Coturnix japonica: one gene and its partners. The protein of the gene in region 4 interacts with the protein of the main gene of each other region in a pairwise test. Links are inferred from orthologs where the notes say so. Each region holds a gene or a part of one and is shown on either strand. Other genes may lie near its edges.

Evidence for each region.
Region 1: the proteins of AGTRAP (region 4) and MRM1 interact in binary tests that used the Homo sapiens proteins (3 or more experiments, as listed by UniProt). The two-hybrid records come from large-scale screens. The link is inferred for Coturnix japonica from reciprocal best matches to the Homo sapiens genes AGTRAP and MRM1.
Region 2: the proteins of AGTRAP (region 4) and NDRG4 interact in binary tests that used the Homo sapiens proteins (3 or more experiments, as listed by UniProt). The two-hybrid records come from large-scale screens. The link is inferred for Coturnix japonica from reciprocal best matches to the Homo sapiens genes AGTRAP and NDRG4.
Region 3: the proteins of AGTRAP (region 4) and MCEE interact in binary tests that used the Homo sapiens proteins (3 or more experiments, as listed by UniProt). The two-hybrid records come from large-scale screens. The link is inferred for Coturnix japonica from reciprocal best matches to the Homo sapiens genes AGTRAP and MCEE.

The regions. Positions count from the first base shown.
Region 1 is NC_029534.1:6,933,156-6,937,402, forward strand, and holds the start of MRM1 (rRNA methyltransferase 1, mitochondrial), read left to right. Parts: upstream 1-1,374; 5' UTR 1,375-1,492; coding exon 1,493-2,082; intron 2,083-2,481; coding exon 2,482-2,575; intron 2,576-3,804; coding exon 3,805-3,925; intron 3,926-4,247. UniProt on the Homo sapiens protein: S-adenosyl-L-methionine-dependent 2'-O-ribose methyltransferase that catalyzes the formation of 2'-O-methylguanosine at position 1145 (Gm1145) in the 16S mitochondrial large subunit ribosomal RNA (mtLSU rRNA), a universally conserved modification in the peptidyl transferase domain of the mtLSU rRNA.
Region 2 is NC_029526.1:2,081,650-2,086,007, reverse strand, and holds the start of NDRG4 (protein NDRG4), read right to left. Parts: upstream 2,874-4,358; 5' UTR 2,783-2,873; coding exon 2,746-2,782; intron 1-2,745. UniProt on the Homo sapiens protein: Contributes to the maintenance of intracerebral BDNF levels within the normal range, which is necessary for the preservation of spatial learning and the resistance to neuronal cell death caused by ischemic stress.
Region 3 is NC_029525.1:4,852,098-4,856,157, forward strand, and holds the start of MCEE (methylmalonyl-CoA epimerase, mitochondrial), read left to right. Parts: upstream 1-1,187; 5' UTR 1,188-1,303; coding exon 1,304-1,334; intron 1,335-4,060. Other genes in the region: MPHOSPH10 (U3 small nucleolar ribonucleoprotein protein MPP10), read right to left, coding at 1-405. UniProt on the Homo sapiens protein: Methylmalonyl-CoA epimerase involved in propionyl-CoA metabolism.
Region 4 is NC_029536.1:4,903,891-4,908,213, reverse strand, and holds the start of AGTRAP (type-1 angiotensin II receptor-associated protein), read left to right. Parts: upstream 1-1,433; 5' UTR 1,434-2,525; coding exon 2,526-2,636; intron 2,637-2,910; exon of another isoform or gene 2,911-3,110; intron 3,111-4,323. UniProt on the Homo sapiens protein: Appears to be a negative regulator of type-1 angiotensin II receptor-mediated signaling by regulating receptor internalization as well as mechanism of receptor desensitization such as phosphorylation.

The DNA.
Region 1 (4,247 bases), on a different chromosome or scaffold from region 4:
CTGGTGGCACCTCAAGCACTTCTTCCTGGGTTGGGATGAGATTGGCAACGTGACCCCGAGGCGTCCAGAAACCCCAGACAGGAGAGTGACCTGTACAATCTATCAGTAGGCTTCTAATTGTAAAACTAGGAAATAAAGAATAAAAAGAGAGGCACAATTTTGTTCTTTTGTTGTATATAGTAGTTCGTGTTTGTACATAACAGCCTTTTTACTGCTCACAGATGAACCTATCTTTTGTGAAGAGTTCAAACAGAAACGTGTGAGTTTGGTTCCTCACGGGGGGGAAACATATTGCAATTGCTTTCTAGAGCAGAATAGCATCCATTTGTCTCATGGATAAGCTGTGGAGATTGGACTCACCCTTCCCTGTTCAAATGAAGCTGAGTTCCACAGGGCTTTGCTGAAATCCCCAGGTAGGCTGCTGGGTTTGGCTAAAACTATGCAAGGGATGAGCCAGTGCTGCTGTGCAGACTTGGATATTGAACTCTGTCAATCTCCCACACTTGTTTGAAGTGGGGTGGATTATTGCTGTTGTTAAATGGAGGCGTTTTTACTTCCCGGACCTCTTTCAGGTTGTCCAAGTTGCAGAGGCTCAGGTTTGCTGTCATTAAAACACAAATGTTTTTTGCAAATAAGTAGTGAGTAGCTGACTTGGCTGCCTTGCTGGATCTGAGGCAGGTGTTTTGGATACCTTGTAAATAGGTAGAAAGCATTTGTGGAATTAAAAGCATGTTTGTCTTTTCTAATCATGTGCTTTCCTTGTTTTTTCCTATGTAATAAATGCCATCAATTGCTTTAACGTTGCTGTACCTCTAGGAGATGTGATGTGGCAGTCTGTGAGTACTGCTGACAGATCTCAGCTCTCATATTGGGTGGGAGGAACCACCACGGGTGCAATTGGCTCTGATAGGCAGCTGGATAAGATCATTTTACTCAAGGAATCTCCATCTCTATAAACAGTTCCATGTTTTTTGAAGGCTGTTGGTGCTTCCGAGTAGAAGACTGACCCACCTCTCTGCAAAATCCTTCTGGAAGAGACTGACGTGGAATAATCACCATCTCATTTATGGAAGCGAAAGGTGGATGTGAAGTGCTCTGCCACTAGAGCGGCGCTTTGGTTTGAAGCTTTGGCTGGATGTGAGCTGGGGTGAGACAACATGGAGCTCATCCCGTGCGCTCTGGAGCCCCTTCCCGCAATGCTGGGGGGGAAGCACGTTGTGCTAACTGTGTCTGGGTAGAGCATCGAGGAGGGTTTTGCCCTCAAAACTCCTGTTTCTAGGTCTCATGAGGCACTTTAATTAAGGTTTTAAGGGGGTACGAGGCCATGAGGCTGCGCTCCGCCGACCGCCAGGGGGCGCTGTGACGCTGGGTGCCCCTCTGGCCGGCCGGAAGCAGCGCGGTCGCTCTGTGCCCACGTGTGTGTCCGCGTTGGATCGAGTGCGGTTCTCCATCCCCGCGTGGTACCGGGGGGCTCTTCCCCTCGTGGGCCGCCATGGAGCAGCCGCTCAGGTCCCTCGCCCTCAGAGCCCTGAGGCTGCCGCCCTCCGCCCGCAGCTGCTGCTTTGGGGTGGGCCCCACGCGGGACCAACAGCCCACACGGTTATACACAGCACGGGAGGGCTCCAAGGGCAGGAGCAGGCCGCAGGGAAGGAGGGTTCTGCCCATTGAAAGGACGAGGGGCAGCGAGATCCTGTTCGGCGTGGCGCCGTGCTCCATGGCGCTGTCCCAGGCCAGGAGGGATCTGTTCAGGCTGTTCCTTAAGCAGAGCGTTGGGCCGCAGCGCCTCGTCAGCAGCGAGTTGGTGCTGCAGGCCGCGGCACGAGGGGTTCCCGTGCTACACGTTGGGAGGAGGGAGCTGGACGAGCTGTGCGGGGGACGCGTCCACCAGGGGGTGTGTTTGGAGGCCACCCCGCTGCGCTACAAGAGGATGGAGGAGGACGAAGGGAGCGATGGAGAGAGCACGAACCGACAGCTGCTATGGCTGGTGCTGGAGCAGATCCAGGACCCCATGAACCTGGGGGCACTGCTGCGCTCTGCCTACTTCTTAGGGGTGGACAGAGTGGTGACGAGCCGGAGGAACAGGTATGGGGTCGGCTGTTCACTCCTGCAGCACTCAGGGTTTCAATTCTTCCTAAAGTGGTCTCAAGTCTAAAGGCACAGCTCTCAGGACTGACCTCAAAATGGGGTTTGGGCAGAGCTGGGCAGTCGAGGCTGTGGGATACAGCGTTCCAGGCTGGCACAGAGCCTCTTGGGGTGCTGGTTTTAAAGCCTGTTTCATGTTTTAATTGTCTGCACACATAGTGCTGCAGCCCGCCTCCTGGGTTTGTTTCTGAGCCCTTAGGTTCCCCATAGGAAGGTGCATCCATTGAGAGAGCAAGACTAGATAAAATTGGGTTGTAGGTGCATAGCAAGAAAACACAGAAGCAGAAATCCTCCTCGTTTTTCCTCCTTCTGTTCTTATGTGAAACCTTTCTTTTGCAGCTGCCCCTTGACTCCAACAGTGAGCAAAGCGAGTTCTGGAGCGATGGAAGTCTTTGATGTCTACAGCACAGACGATCTCCGGAGCTTTTTGAAGGTAGAATGACGCACGTTTCTTTTCACTGTGTTACAGTATATAGAAAACTTCAAATAGTAATGTATGGGAAACTTCAAATAGTGCATATATTGAGCAGAGAAGGTGCAAATAGAGGACTGATACAGATGGAGGCATTGTCCTGGAGCCCGGCACATGGTGGCAGCATTGGGCAGCTTTTAGTGTAAGGGAGCTTTGGGAAACCAGAGCTGTGTGTGAGCTGCAGCCAGTCTGTGCTCTGAGGGTAGCTCTGCCGTTTTGAGGAGGAGCTCATCAGATTGTGCTGTGACCATGAGCAGGAGTAAGAGTGGATTCTTCCCACTCTGCCAGAATCCGGTGTTGGGCTGTACAGTAGGTCTGTGGTAGCTGGAGCTCTGAATAATGCAGAAATGAAAGGCATGTGAAGTACACTGACATTGAAACAGCTGGAAGGATCACTTTGTTGCTGTAAAGTTTGAATTATTAATGTTTTGAGCTGTTGTAGCCATTCATTTTATTGGACCCAGATTCTCTGGCCTAACCACATGTGTTGTCTGGTGTAAATTTGATATCACTTAATGTAAAAGTGTCAGTTTCACAGGAAATGAAGCTGGCACGAAGCAGCAGCAGCTCTTTTATTGTTAAAATAGGCTTTTAAGACAAATAATTGAGGTACTTAATATTAGGGCAGGGGAAGGAAGGCTGCTTCTCTGGTTACATGAGCTGCTGAGTGTTGTGCCCTGTTTTTTTATGAACTGATTTTTGGCATCTGAGTTTGAGAATGTGCAGCTGTATTTGAAAACATTTCTGGGGGCTTCTGCTGGTTGAGCTTGCGCTTCAAAGCTTCCACTGCATTGCTCTATTCATTAACCTTAAGCTGATTTGTTTAACACAACTTTCTTCATGCTTTTCTGGCACACACACACAAAAAAAAAAACAACCCAGAAACAAACAAAAACCCCCCTGGAACTGTTATGTTGGCAGAAATAATGTAATTTCAGTTGCTTTTTGTTTGCTTGCTGAGCTGGAAGAAACACCAGAAGGAAAACTACCTCTTGTTTTTGTTGTTCTCATTCAGGGCTTGTGTCTGGTTCTGGTAGGGCTTTGGTGGTAAAAATTCAAGGGATGGCAAAAAGCCACTCAGCTTAACTGAAAATCTAGGACATAAATACGGTTTTGTACATGTCTTGTTTTCTTTTTAAGCTTGAAAAGTTAATATTGTTCTTAACATTTGTTTCTTCTCCTGTTCCCAGGCTAAAGCTGCAGAAGGTTGGGAAGTTGTGGGAACAGTGAGCCAGTCTGAAACTGTGGAAAATGTTCCTGTCATCAGCTGCTTGGAATTTCGGTGGAATAAACCCATTATTTTAGTAATAGGTATTTCAGTTTACAGAGCTTTGGTCTTGTGGCAAGTGTATATGTGAGGGAATGATCAGGGTGGCATTCCATCCTGTAAGCTAGTTGCAGATCTGTTATGTTCCGTTATGGTTTGGTCTGGAAAAGAGAAGCTGAGCAAGTACTAAAATGATCTGCCTGCAAATGGGATGTGGTCTTAAAGGAAGGGGGAAGGCCAGGAGGTTTCTCACAGTGTATTGTGTGAGCAATGAGTGCCACTTTGCCAGTCCTGAGCAACTGAACTGCGATAACTCCAGGGCCGCCTTCTTCTCCTCCTTTGTGTGGAGGAGATTTGCACAGGGTG
Region 2 (4,358 bases), on a different chromosome or scaffold from region 4:
TCTCCAGTTAAGGGCTCGGGCAGACTGGGAGAGCAAGTGTGTGTCAGTGCTGGTCACCCTGTGAGTACACAGCCTGGGGCGACAGTGGTCCCATTTCCACGGCAGCTCCCAGCATTGGCCAGAGAGATGGGTCAATGTCTGAGCTGCGTGCAGGCTATGGGCAGACAGTGTGGGAGCAAAGGAGAGCTCCCTGCAGAGCCAGACCGAGGTGTGACATTTCTCAGCCACGCAGAGGGACGCTCTGAGCATTGGAATGGCTCCGTCAGGGAGCAGAGCCCACCCAAAGGTGGTATGGCAATGATGGGAGGAAGCCAAACCCGGAGCCTTTACCCACACAGCTCTCCCCTCATCTACAGAGTAAGGGCTTGCAGGGATGGTGCTCGCTGTGTGTGGGGCTGTGTGCTGCTGAGCAGGGCACCGAGGCTTTGTACACCCCAATGCCAGCATTGCCAGCGTACCCCCAGATATCAGCACAGCTCAGGAAGCAAAGGGGAGCGAGGGGCTGCACAGTAGCTGGTCACACTCAGACAGTGACAAAGACAAAGGGAATGGGGACAGAGACAGTGCAGGCTGCCCTGTGTATGCTCAGGGTGGGTCCCAGCAGGTCCCATGGCCACCCGTTCCCCAGCCATACTCCTGCTGCTTCCCACACAATCCCTCCATGGAGCCCAGCGAGGACAGGTCTGTGCCAGCACCAAGCAGAAGCAGCCCCCGCTCCATCAGCCAGGCCTGCTGCGTGCTCTGCTCAGCACCTCACCTGAGGCAGCCCCAGCTGGAGCTGCAGAACTACAGTAACATCACAGGGTGTGCTCAGCCCTGCCCCAGCCACCCAGAGCACAGAAGTGATGGGAAGCTTCCCTCCAGAGCTGTGTTCTGCTAATCCAACCGAGTTTTCAGCTGTAAAACCGAGCGGGCTCTGCCACCTGGCTGCTCTCTGCAGCAACCACACTTTGCTCAGCTCTCTGGGAGCAGTCCGACAAACCAGAGAGGTTTGGAAACAGAAGCAGCAGCACAAAACCTCCCAGAGCTCCTGCAGCCCCAGTCCCACAGCAGCTCCAGCCCTGTGCCCCATCTCAAGGGAGCGAAGGTTAAAAAGTGGGGGGAAATTGGCCTCACCGGGAGCCAGGTCTGGAAGAGCAGGAGAGTCGTGCACTGACAGCACCGACCGCTGCGTGGCCGCAGTCCCAGGGCGGCTGGGGACAGCACTTAGCGCACGGTCGGTGCCTTCGTTAATTAAAGCCGATAATCAGAGGGAGGGAGGCTGAGCGATGAGGAACGGCCCCGTGATCTTGGTGTGTGGTGGGGGGAACACCGGCCCATGGGAGGCATGGCAGAACCCCACTCCAACCAGCATCCTCAGAGCAGAATGACAGCCATCAGGAGCAGTTATAGGCTCAGGAGCAGGAGGGGAGCTAAGGGTCAGCGTTGGGGATCTCCATAACAGGGAGACCCAGGGGTGCTGCAGCCCCGCAGCAGGAATCACAGCCACATCGTGGCTCCCTGGAGGTGCCCAGCAGTGCCAGTGGGCAGCCCCAGGCTGTGGGCCCAGCCAGTGGCAGCATGGGGACCCTCCAAGTCCTGCCCAGCTCCAAGCTGCCCAGGATGGACATGATGGCCGAGGAGGTGCCAGCAGGGCTGGCACTGAGCACTTTCCCCTCCGGCTCACCCCAATACTCCCCAGCAGATCCATCCCCAGGTGTTCCCACTCCGCCTTCCCCACGTGGTGCCAACCCGTCCTGAGCAGAGCTGGGGCACATTTCCTCCCTAATCCCAAACCCATCCCAAACAGAGCACAGCACCAACCAGCTGCACAGCCAAGCAGCAGCTGAGGGCCAGGAGCACAGTGCCCTGCTGCTCCCCTGAAGGCACTGCTGTGTAGGACACACTCTGTGTGCGCTGCCAGGAGCAATTGAAGCGACCCCTTTTCCATTTCCCTCTTTTCAACGGATCAGACACGTGCCCAGGAACCACCCACCCTGGGCTCTCACAGCACGGCAGCACAAACCCCTGCAAACAGCCTTTTCCCTGCACCTTCCAGGGCTGAGCCGAGGAAGGGAGATGCAATCGGCCACTGCGGCTCTGCCCTGCGGGGCCCTGGCACCGCGGAGATGCAGATGGAGGCAGCCCCGTTGGCTCTGCCTTCCCTGGCAACCTGCAGCCCAGTGTTCACTTATTGAAAGAGAATCAGCAAACGGCAAGGAAACGCATTACTGCTCACTGTCATACTTCTCATCCCAGTGAGGCCGCAGGAAGAGTTTAACAGTGGTGACCAGAAGGCAGGTGACCCCCAGGGGCCGCCCTGCTGCCCCCCGTGTGCTGCCCAGCGTGGCACCCCGGGGTGCCGGCACAGCTCCTCGGGGTGAATGGAGCGGCGTGCGGCAGACGGGGATGGGGGGGAGAAACCAGAGGAACGGGGCTGCTGGAAAACCTCACAGCGCACGGCGTGGGCCCCCTCCCACCCCCCGGCGCAGGACAAGCCCCCACAGCCGGGTCGAGGCTGACCGGGGAAGCTGGCAGGGGGGCTGCTGGCCCCGAGGCTGAGCCGCAGGATGCTCCGGCAGCCCCGCACAAGGACCCCGCAGCCCTCATAACCTCCCCAGCCCACGCGGGGCCACGAGCGCTCCGAGCCCGAGGGCTGCGGCAGCAAAGAACGGAGCCACCGCGAAGCTGAGCCCCAACCTTCGGATGGGATGCGAATGGAACGATGCGGCAGCGCGACCCGCCGTGCCCCCGGGGCTCGGGTACCTGTGAGCAGCTCGATCTTGTGCCGGAGAACCTTCATGCCGGGCCGGCGGCCCCGGCGCGGGGAGCGAGCGGAGCCGGAGCGGAGCGGAGAGGAGAGGAGCGGAACCGAGCGGAGCGGAGAGCGCAGGGCGGCGCAGGGGCGAGGCGGAACGGCCCAGGGGAGCGGATCCTCCCCTCGGCGGGGCCGGAGAGGAGGGACGGGGCCGGGGATGGGGCCGGGAGCGGGGCCGGGGCCGGACGGATAATAAGAACGAGGGAGGGGGGAAAGAAAGGGCAACTGTGGAGCTGCGGAGGGCACGGGGGGGGTGTGTAAGAAAGGGAGCGGGGTGAAGCGATGGAAGATGGAGAGCTCCGGGTGCAGCGCTGTGTCCGAGGGGTCCTCAGGAAAGGGGCCGTGACGGCTGAGGAGGGTGGGGGTCCCCACGATGGTGAACAGGCCCAGGAGGAACCGCGATAAGGGGGAGCTGGGCAACGGGTGTCCCCACAGCATGGCCAAGAGTTGGGGGGCAGGGAGTGGGGATGGCGATAGATGTGGGGTCCAAGGGGTCACCCAGGAGATGACACTGTGCCTGGGATGGAGATGGACCCTGTACACATACAAGGAGCTGTGGGGTCGTGGGTGTTTGGGACTGAGGATCACCCAGTCACTCTCATGACAGCGTTCAGGTCTATGGAGGAGCCCAAGGGCTCCCAAGGCAGCAGGGCAGCAGTGCTGTATTTGCTCTGGCCAGTCCAGGCCTGCAGTGGATGCACTCACAGCACTCCTCCTGTACAGCACAATCACAAGTGCAGCTTGTCCCACAGCGGGGCTGGGGCACACGTCTGTTCCATCCCCGGTACATCTGTGCTGACAGCTTGTCCCAGGCTTGTTGGATGGCAACCAGCTTCCAGCTGACTTCAGCCTCTCCTGTTGAGTCGCAGATAGCTCTGCATGCTGGGCTGTGTTCACCTTCTCACCTCAATGGGATGCTGGGGATCACGGGGCTGTTCAGCCAGGAGCTTCTCTGCCTTCAGGGCTGCCTCTTACACCACAGCAAATGGTTCACCCCGGAACTGGGCAGGGACATGAAGGGATCAGATCCTCTGTGTAAAGTCAACCTCCTCTGAGTGCCAGGGATTCCTACAGGAATAAATGGTTTTCACACCAGGAATGTATCCTCTCCGCACAAAGTTCAACTTGACCAAATAAGACCTTTTAGATGCTACCTTGCCAAAGGAGCGTGGCCATATGGCTGCAATAATTGCACAATTAATTGTGTATGGAGAGAGCATAAGCTTTCTATGCACTGGAATCTGCATTGCACGTGGTGCGGCCTGCACCCTCAATTGCATGTTTAAAAGGAGTTTTACAGCATGGATTTTTCCACATTTCTCTTTGCAGGTCAATGTGGCATTTTTCACATGGCTTTCCATGCACTTTCATCTCAGCCATGTGACAGCAAGGCAGTCAAACCAAGGTCTGGCTGCGGAGATGGCATCAGGGAGGTCACAGCCGTGGACAAGGACTCTCGGAGGGTCAGGGATGCTGTGTGCAGACTTGTGCTGTTTTCTGCTGTTTGCTCTTTTCCTGGTGGCACCAAAGAACTAAGGGGCCCTTTGCCCAGAGATGTTGA
Region 3 (4,060 bases), on a different chromosome or scaffold from region 4:
TCTTCATCACTGTATTTCTCTATTACACTTTCTCTGGGTTTACTTTTCTTTTCTTTAGCTTCAGTTTTATGTTTTATGTAGGCATCCTCCAGTTCAGTTTCTGCTTCTATCATGTCTTCCACTTCACTATCACTGCTGGCTTCTGCATCAGAGCCGTCATCTTCCTGGTCAGAGATAAGGCAAAGGTCTTTATCGTTGGTACACTGTGCAACAGATTTCTGGAAGACATCAAGAATCACATTATTCTGGAGCTCCAGTTGTTGCCAGATCTGTTCTTCATCAAAGTTCTCTATCACCAGCTCTTTCAGAGGACTTCCACGAACTACACTGCTTCCAAGAGCTTTATTTAAATCATAAAGAGTCTTTGTTAAGGTTCTGAAGTCAGCAGCCAGCTCATCCTGCACACTGGGAGTAGGAAAAGAAAAAAAAGAACGTTGAAAAGCACAGCAGGTGTTGTGTTTTTGTTCCCACACACACGCACTTCTGCTCTGCAGAACTCACTTACTTTCATTCATACACAGCTCCTACTGAACTAACCGTGCAGCCACGTTTCTGCAGAGCCCCATCTCCCTGCTGAGGCCCTTTGGTGCTGCAGACCGGCATCCTTCAACAGTTACCGCTTTCACATAACGTTCTACACATCAGAGTACAGCTATCGAGCACTCCCAGCCACAGGGACGTTGCAGTTAAGTCTCTTCACTGCACGTTCCCCCCTTCTGCACCCGCACCTCATTGTATTCTGATCACATGTGAGCAACCCACAAGTTCTGAGGCAGCACAGCACCAAACACCCAAGCTCCCCAGCCACAAAACCATCTCTCTCTGCCGCCTCATCCCTCAGCACTTATCCTCGGGCAGCCATTCAGCTTCTTCCAGTACCAAAACACACAAGGAAGAAACAGACACCCCGACAGCTGAGGAAAGGTCCGGGACGTCGCATCGGCACCGGCATGGCCCGGCAGAACGCGGCTCTGCGCACCACAAGGCCCCAGAAGGCACCATAATGCCGGTCGGACCGGCACGACGCCCCGCGGTACCTGAGGAAGCGCTCTGGTCGCGCCGCAGCAGCTCCAGCCACACGGAGGCATTTCTCCAGTCCGGACACGGCCGCCATCGCCCTCACGTGCAGCTGCCCCGGCCCCGCCCCGAGCACTCGCCAAAAGCTCCGTGCAGCTCCAGCAGCCGGCACCAGCGTTCCGCGCAACAACGTTCCGCCCGCACGGCCTGACCGGGCGCAGCGTCAGGAGGCGGCCCGGCCCCGCCTGCCCGAGGCTGGGCAGACTCATAGCGGTCGGGCGGCGACATGGCGGCCTCACTGGGGCGCGCGGCGGCCGGTAACGGGGTAACGGGGGGCCGGGCGGGGCGGGGCTGATGAGAGCGGGGCAGTGCGGGTAGCGGCACCTCTGCCTGCCCGGTGCGCGCTGCCGCCCGCCGCCTCTCTGGGTGCTTTACGGGCCAGCTGTGGGACCTGCCGGGATCGGCTTTAAAAAGGTCCGATACGAATGGCATTATCTGTCTTAGAATAAATTTACGTGGCGAGCCACCTGCTTAATACTTAAGGCACCAAGACAGAAACAAAGAGAAGCTTGCCTTTAAATTGTAACTTAGAGGTCAAATGCAAAATTCTTTCCTATTCACGGTAGTAATTAACCTCAAGTGTTTCCTCCCCTAACAGTAATGGCAGACTCCCCTCGCTGCACAGTTTTACTGCCACCGACTGCAGGAGAAAAGTGAATGAGACCCGGTGTAGTCCAGTGCTCCTCCAGAGCTATGGTGCCCTTCTGATCCCAAAGTAGCTCTGGCACAAACAGAGCAGTGCCAAGGACAGTCCAGGCCTTGCTGGCTGGCACTTTCCAAGACGCTAACAGCACCTCCTGTGATTTCAGACAGACTGTGCCTGTTACCAGGCATATAACTATTCGCTCCAGAAAGCTCATACGCAGTATACACAGCCCCGCTATGCCCAGCTCCACGTGGTCAGAGCACAGTCTCTGCACTTGGGAGTTTTCCTCAATGTCAAACCAGGCCATAGAGCAGTGCCTGCTGAGAAGGCTCTTCTCACTGTGACCCACAGCTCTGTAACCCCTCCAGAGAGCACTGCTGCACTCAGCAGGAGTTTGCTTGGAGCTATTTACCTCACCGTGTAAGTCAACCAACACTGCCCCCATCGGGGCAACAAGCCTATATTCATATATTCAACGTTTGCAGGATGCCATTCTATGCCTCTATCAAGACAACTGCACACGTTTGAACTCTTGATGCACACAATGCTGGCATTCAGACACTTAACAATTAAAAAAATAACACCCAAATAGATACGTTAAAAATATTCTTCAAATGAAGCTGAACATGGTAACATACATTCCACAGTAATACCAAAACTAAAGACAGTAATCATATACTAGGGCAGGGTGTGCTGAATCTTCTATAAGGGACAAAATGCCTAAAAAGACTCAGATTGGGTTATCAGTGTCTGAAAAATTACGTATTTAAAAAGAACAGTGGGGTAAATGATATATATAGTAGGAGAAGAAACTGCATGTGTGAATTTGCATGTGCACGTTTGTCAGACAGGGACACAGTTGGACAGACACTTCACTCGCAGTCTCAGTTGGTTTCAAAAGAAACAAAGTCTTATTTTTTAACATTGGATAAAGTTCAGAATTATCTGAGTAATTGTGTAAGTTACTGGATGAATGCTTTTGTGTTTGAAGAATGTAACCACATCTCTCTGAACAAAGGACCGGCTTTGTTATGTATGCATAATTCACTGAAACATGAAAGTGATGGAGTTTCATTCTGAAGTTGCTGGAAAGCTTTCTTTTTCACTGCAGGGTCATCCTTTGATTATTGGGTGTGCTACTTCTTAGCATGAAAATGAGGCCAAAAACATGAAGATGAGTAAAGAGTAGAATTTCAATTAACTAGTAACTATATGGCTACTAATCTATGTAATGCCATAAAAATACAAATGCTTTTTGTTTATTCTCAGTCAATCAAATCCTTATGGAATTAAAACATGCATATGACTAGAGATAGAATAAAGTCACACATCTTCACTATTCTAAGAAAAACCTTCATTCATACATACTCACTGAAAAAGTAGAGTTCTTAGGAGGGGGAAGTGGATTGATGCATAACTAATGCTTATAAGTATTTTGACTTTACAAGAATCTTAGAAGTATCCTTAACCTCTTCACTCCATTGTCATGGCTGGAAATACTGCAGAAATCAAATGTTTCTTGAGTAGAACCCAACAGAAATAACACTTTCTATTTCCTTTACTATAGCTTCAGTGTAAAGGTGGCTTATATAAAGATGTTGACCAAGACAGTGATAAATAGTCAAAGGTTATTAGTAAAGAAAACTCACCAATGTCAAAGCCTGGACTGGATAGCCAAGGCAGTCTCCACCAGGGAGCAATCTCCAAGAGATGCTGCCTCAGTGGTGGTCAGCCCTTAAATGAGGTCTCAGGGGGGGTGGAGTCGAAGTCCACCCCTTCTGGGAGCACAGCTCCATTACTCTCACCTGTGCTCCCGCAGCTGACCCAACACTTGCCTCAGCTGATTAATCAGTGATTCCAGCTGTGATTTCCCATACACTTCAGTAACAGCCAAGTAACAGTCTACCTCTCTAATTTTTTGTCAGTTTACTTGAAAGTAGACAAAATGCAAATTTAATCATAATAGCTGTGTAATCTTATGCCCTGTGTGAAGCATAGCAACGGTTACAGATGGGAGATATCAAGATGACTGGGGAACGTTGTAGCTTTTCCTACCAGTCATGACTGCCTGAAAATCTACATTAGTAGTATTTCCATTCAGTCATGGCATATCAATACTTGGAAACAGGAATGAAATAAGAAAAGTGCTTAGAAAACATCAGAAATAGTATAGCAAGTGGTCATTTCACATCTTCCTTGCCTTTTGGAAAATACTGACTTGAAAGTTTCTCTTGCTTCACCAAGAATTGAATTAGACCTTAAAAAGCGATGACAGGAAACAGCTGTTATTCTTAGGTAGATTGAAAAGAGTATTTGACTTTTTAAAATGCATTATTT
Region 4 (4,323 bases):
AGTCACATCAATCCAAATTACAGCTCACACCACGTTCATGATAATGGGACCGCCTGTCTCAGTCAGACCAAGTGAAAATGCTGGAAGGAGCAAAGGCTGCCACATACTGCTGCATCCAGACAGTGCTTACACTTAAACTGGGCTGCAGTGGAGGATAGGGCAGATTGAGACTCCCCTTCCCAGAGGCAGGGGCACAAATGGCTTTTCCAAGGCCTGTTTGTGGCTTGGTTGAGAACGTGTGAGTTCAGATCCCCTACTGCAGACAACCTATACATAACCTTGCACTGCACTGCTTGAACTGGATGTGGGACTGAAGGGTGACTCACACATTTCCACATCCAGCTTCTGCAATGAACTTCTGGCTCCTCTCTCATTCTTAGAGGCCCTGTCTTAAAAGTAAATTACAATAAAGAAACCAACCCAGCAAAATGTCATAATCTGTCTGTGAAATGTCATGCTCTGCAAATGGGTCATGCATATACTGGGCAGGGAGGGTTGGAGAGGGTCACCCTTACTTCTTGGTTCTGCTATCCTATTGCTGTATGTGGGAAGAAGATGGCTGTTATAAACAGGGCAGGAAAGGAATTCATAGCTGTACACTGTGGGTTGGGGTTGGTCGTTTAGTTAACAACTTCCCCAGCTCTAAAATGGGAAAAGCCTTCAGAACAAGAGGCGAAGGAGTCCCAATTCTGAATCATAGGCTCCTTAAGGATGGGGAAGAGCTCTGTGATCAAGTCCAACCCAACCCACCCCACTATGCCCACATCCCTCAGTGCCACATCTCCACACTGAACACCTCCATGGATGGTGACCCCATTGCTCCCTGGGCAGCTGCTCCTTCTTTATTGTCCCTAATACCCAACCTGCACCTCCCCTGCTGTGTCTTAAGGCCATACTGTTGCTGTTACAAAGTTCAAGGGCTGAGCCCACCTTGCCACAACCCCCTTTCAGGAGCTGTGAGAGCAATGAGGTCTCTCCCCCAGCCTGACCCATCTCCTTCCCTCAGCTGTTCCCCATAACACTGCGCTCCCACACACAGCTCCATTCCCATCCCTGGACACACTCCATATCCTCCATATCTTCCTCGTCTAACACCTCACAGCCTGACAGCTGAGACAAAAACCCCAACGAGGTTCCCCTCCATGTTGGGATCCACCCCCGGGGCAGGGCGCTGAGGGAGGCGGTGTCCCGGCCGCTCCCGCCTTCCTTCCCTCCTTTGGGCGGCCCCGGGGAGCAGCCCCACGGTGGGAGTCACGGGGCGGGCGGGCCGCTGCCATGGAGCTGCCTGCCGTCAGCCTCAAGGTACGGGGGGGGATATGGGGCAGAGCCTATGTGGGGCTGAGCTGTTGTGGGGCGAGGTGGGTCGGCTGGGAGAAAAGAGTACGGGGGTGGGCGTTGAGGCTGGTATGGTGCCTTGTGTGGAGGCGTGGGGGTGTTTGTGGAGGGAGAAGTGGCTGTTTCTGCCTTTTGTGGAGGGGTTTTTAGTAGGGGTTGTCGCCCAGGTGGGCCCCCCCTCGGCCTTCTACCTCCCAATTCCCCCCTCCATCCCCCAACTGTGATCCTTAATGGGTTTCTGAGGAGGCGAAGTTGGTGCTGGTCAGGGAACTCACCTCAGGAAGGTGACGGCTTTGTGGGCTTGTATAGACCGACAGAAACTGCTGTTCTGTGTTTTAACTTAATTTCTAGGGGGGGAGGGCGTGGAATGAGGGAGGCTGTAAACTTTTGTGCGATGTTTAGTAGAGAAACGGGAAATAAAAGGACTTCGGAAGTTACCCGTTAACTTCAGGAGGAAGCAGCTCCTCACACAGAGGCTGAAATCGGCCCCCTTTGCTCTTCATGTTGCTCGTGAGACTGAAGCCTTTTAGACTCTTTCCCCTGTTTTTCCTCCATTAGTTATACTTTCAGAGCCTTCTAGGGTGATGTGCTGCTTGTTTCCCAGCTTCCCTGTTGGGGTTTTGGGTGCGTTGCTGAAAGCTTTGCAGTTTGGTTGCAGGAGCTAGAAGAAAAGAGATGCTTCATGAATGAACGAGTCACCATGACAACATAAGTAAAATGTTGCATTTCCTCCCTGCTTTTTAGCAAGCATTCTTAAATCTCCTCCTGGGTAAGAGTGATTTTGACCTGGCCAAAGTGTTCTCAGCATTGGGAAGTACCTTTTGTAAAGTACTGGTTAGGGTGGTGTGGTGCTGAAATGGGTTACCCAGAGTAGTTATGGATGCCCCATCCTTGGAGTCATGTTGGATGGGCCCTGAGTTAGTGATTAGCAGCCCTGCCCATGGCAGGGCATTGGATCCAAAAGATCTTTCAGGTTCTCTCCAACCTAAGCCATGCTGCGTTCTGGGATTCAAGGGCTGTAACACAGTGAGTTAATAATTGTCCTGCATCTTTGTGCTGTCTCTGAGTCGTGGCCTACTGCTCTGAAACACAACCCAAAGGTTGGCAAGGTTCTCATTCAGAGAGGGATTGGGAATAACACACTACTTCTATGCATTGGCGTTAACTGGTTACAGTTTCTCTGTGATCAGATGGATAAACCTAATGACAGAAGAAGAAAACTTCCAAAGACCTGCGTGAATGCAGCATTTGTGCCAGATTGTAGCAAAGTCTCAGCCTTGAGGTCCCTCTTTAACCCGCAGGTAGGACTGTAGCATTAATATGGCAGGCCTTGACCTGCAGTAGATGAAGAATTCACTCATGGAGCAGCATCTACTGGCTCAGCTCTGGTAGTAATGCTCAGCAAAGTGTGGAAAGCAGCATCACCTTATTATTGCAGTGAGTGTTTGATGGCTAGGATTGTTGCAATAGCTATTCTGAATCTTGAAATATCAAGTTTGCTTGAGCTTGGAAAAGGCCCTACAATGAATATGCCTGAAATCAGATGTTTTGTTCTCGGGTGTTTTTATGTGCTAGCTCTGGAATCCTAGCATCATTTTGATTGGAAGAGACCTACGTATGTCACCTAGCCCAGCCTCCTGCTCAAAGCAAAGCTAACTTGAAAAGTAGATCAAGTAGATCAACTCAAAGAGTTGGCAACCACTTTGGAGATTATCTAGTGCTGCTCCCCTGCTAAAGCAAGCACCCCAAAGGAGGCTGCAGAGGAAAGCATCCAGGTGGGTTCTGAATACCTCCAGGCAGGCAGAATGAGTTCCTGTACCAAAGAACTCTTCAAAAAAGCAATGTATGCTCTTAGGTATGGATATATCCCCCTGAACAGATGGGAATGAATTCTTCTGTCTCACCAGGAGGCTGCCTGCAAATTATCTCACGTAATGACTGCAGCTTTAAATAATGTTTTTCATTAACACTCCGTTTTCTGTGTGAAAGCATACCGAGACCATCAGCCAATTCCATAGTGCCCTGAAGAGCTGTCAGATAACTCAGACTAATAGCTCGGAAGGAAATGCTTTGTTTTTCTTCCAGCAGCCCCCTGGATTACCAGCCCTTGCTTACCTGACGTTATGCTGGTGATGGAGCCAGCTTCTTAATTTAATAACTGCAATATTGATCTAGACAGCTTAATATATATATATATATAATAAAACCCACTCTGCGTAATTATATTAACTGCTGAGCCTTGAGGGGTCTTGTGAGTGCATAACGTGCAATTAAATACTACCTAATTAAGAATTTCCCTGATGTTGTGATCGTCTCTTGGGTGAATGCTATTTGCATGTCTCCGTTCTTATCCAAGAACATCTTGTATTTTCCTGATTAGCAGTTTCTGCCTGGTCTCTGCGGTGCAATCTGGGAGGAGGGGGAAGCAGCGGGTGGTGCTGGAGCATTTTGTAGGCTTTCATGAGCAATTAAAAAAAATAGTCATTATTAAAAACCTGTTTGAGCAGCGTTTGATGTTCAGGCGGTCTGTGCTGAATGCTCAGCAGATGTGATAGGGTGCTGCAGTGCAACCAGGGCTTTGCCTTATGATAAGATATCTATGTTGTGATATCTTGGCTGGACAGTCCAAGCCATTGCAGCTGCATCGCTCCTTCTGGTTTCACTCACGTCACAGCTTCATGGGTCATTAACTTTCCTGAAGCCACGAGTTCTGTGTGAAGTTAGAGCAGGTGTAGACATTTTGAGTCAATAAATGTGACAGTATTTGGGCACTAGTGTTGTCCCTGGAAGTGAAAAGAGTGGTGTAGCATGGCAGGATTGGGTCTTTAGGTTCCTAGAAGATGACTTCAGGTCTGTTAATATTGGAGCGAGGCAGGTTGGAAGGGGGTAAAGGGGAATTCACAGTGAAAATGCTGGGAGCTGCAGTCATGACAATTCATGGACTTCTTGGTGGTGGGATAGTAGATTGGTCATATATGAGCTGTGCTA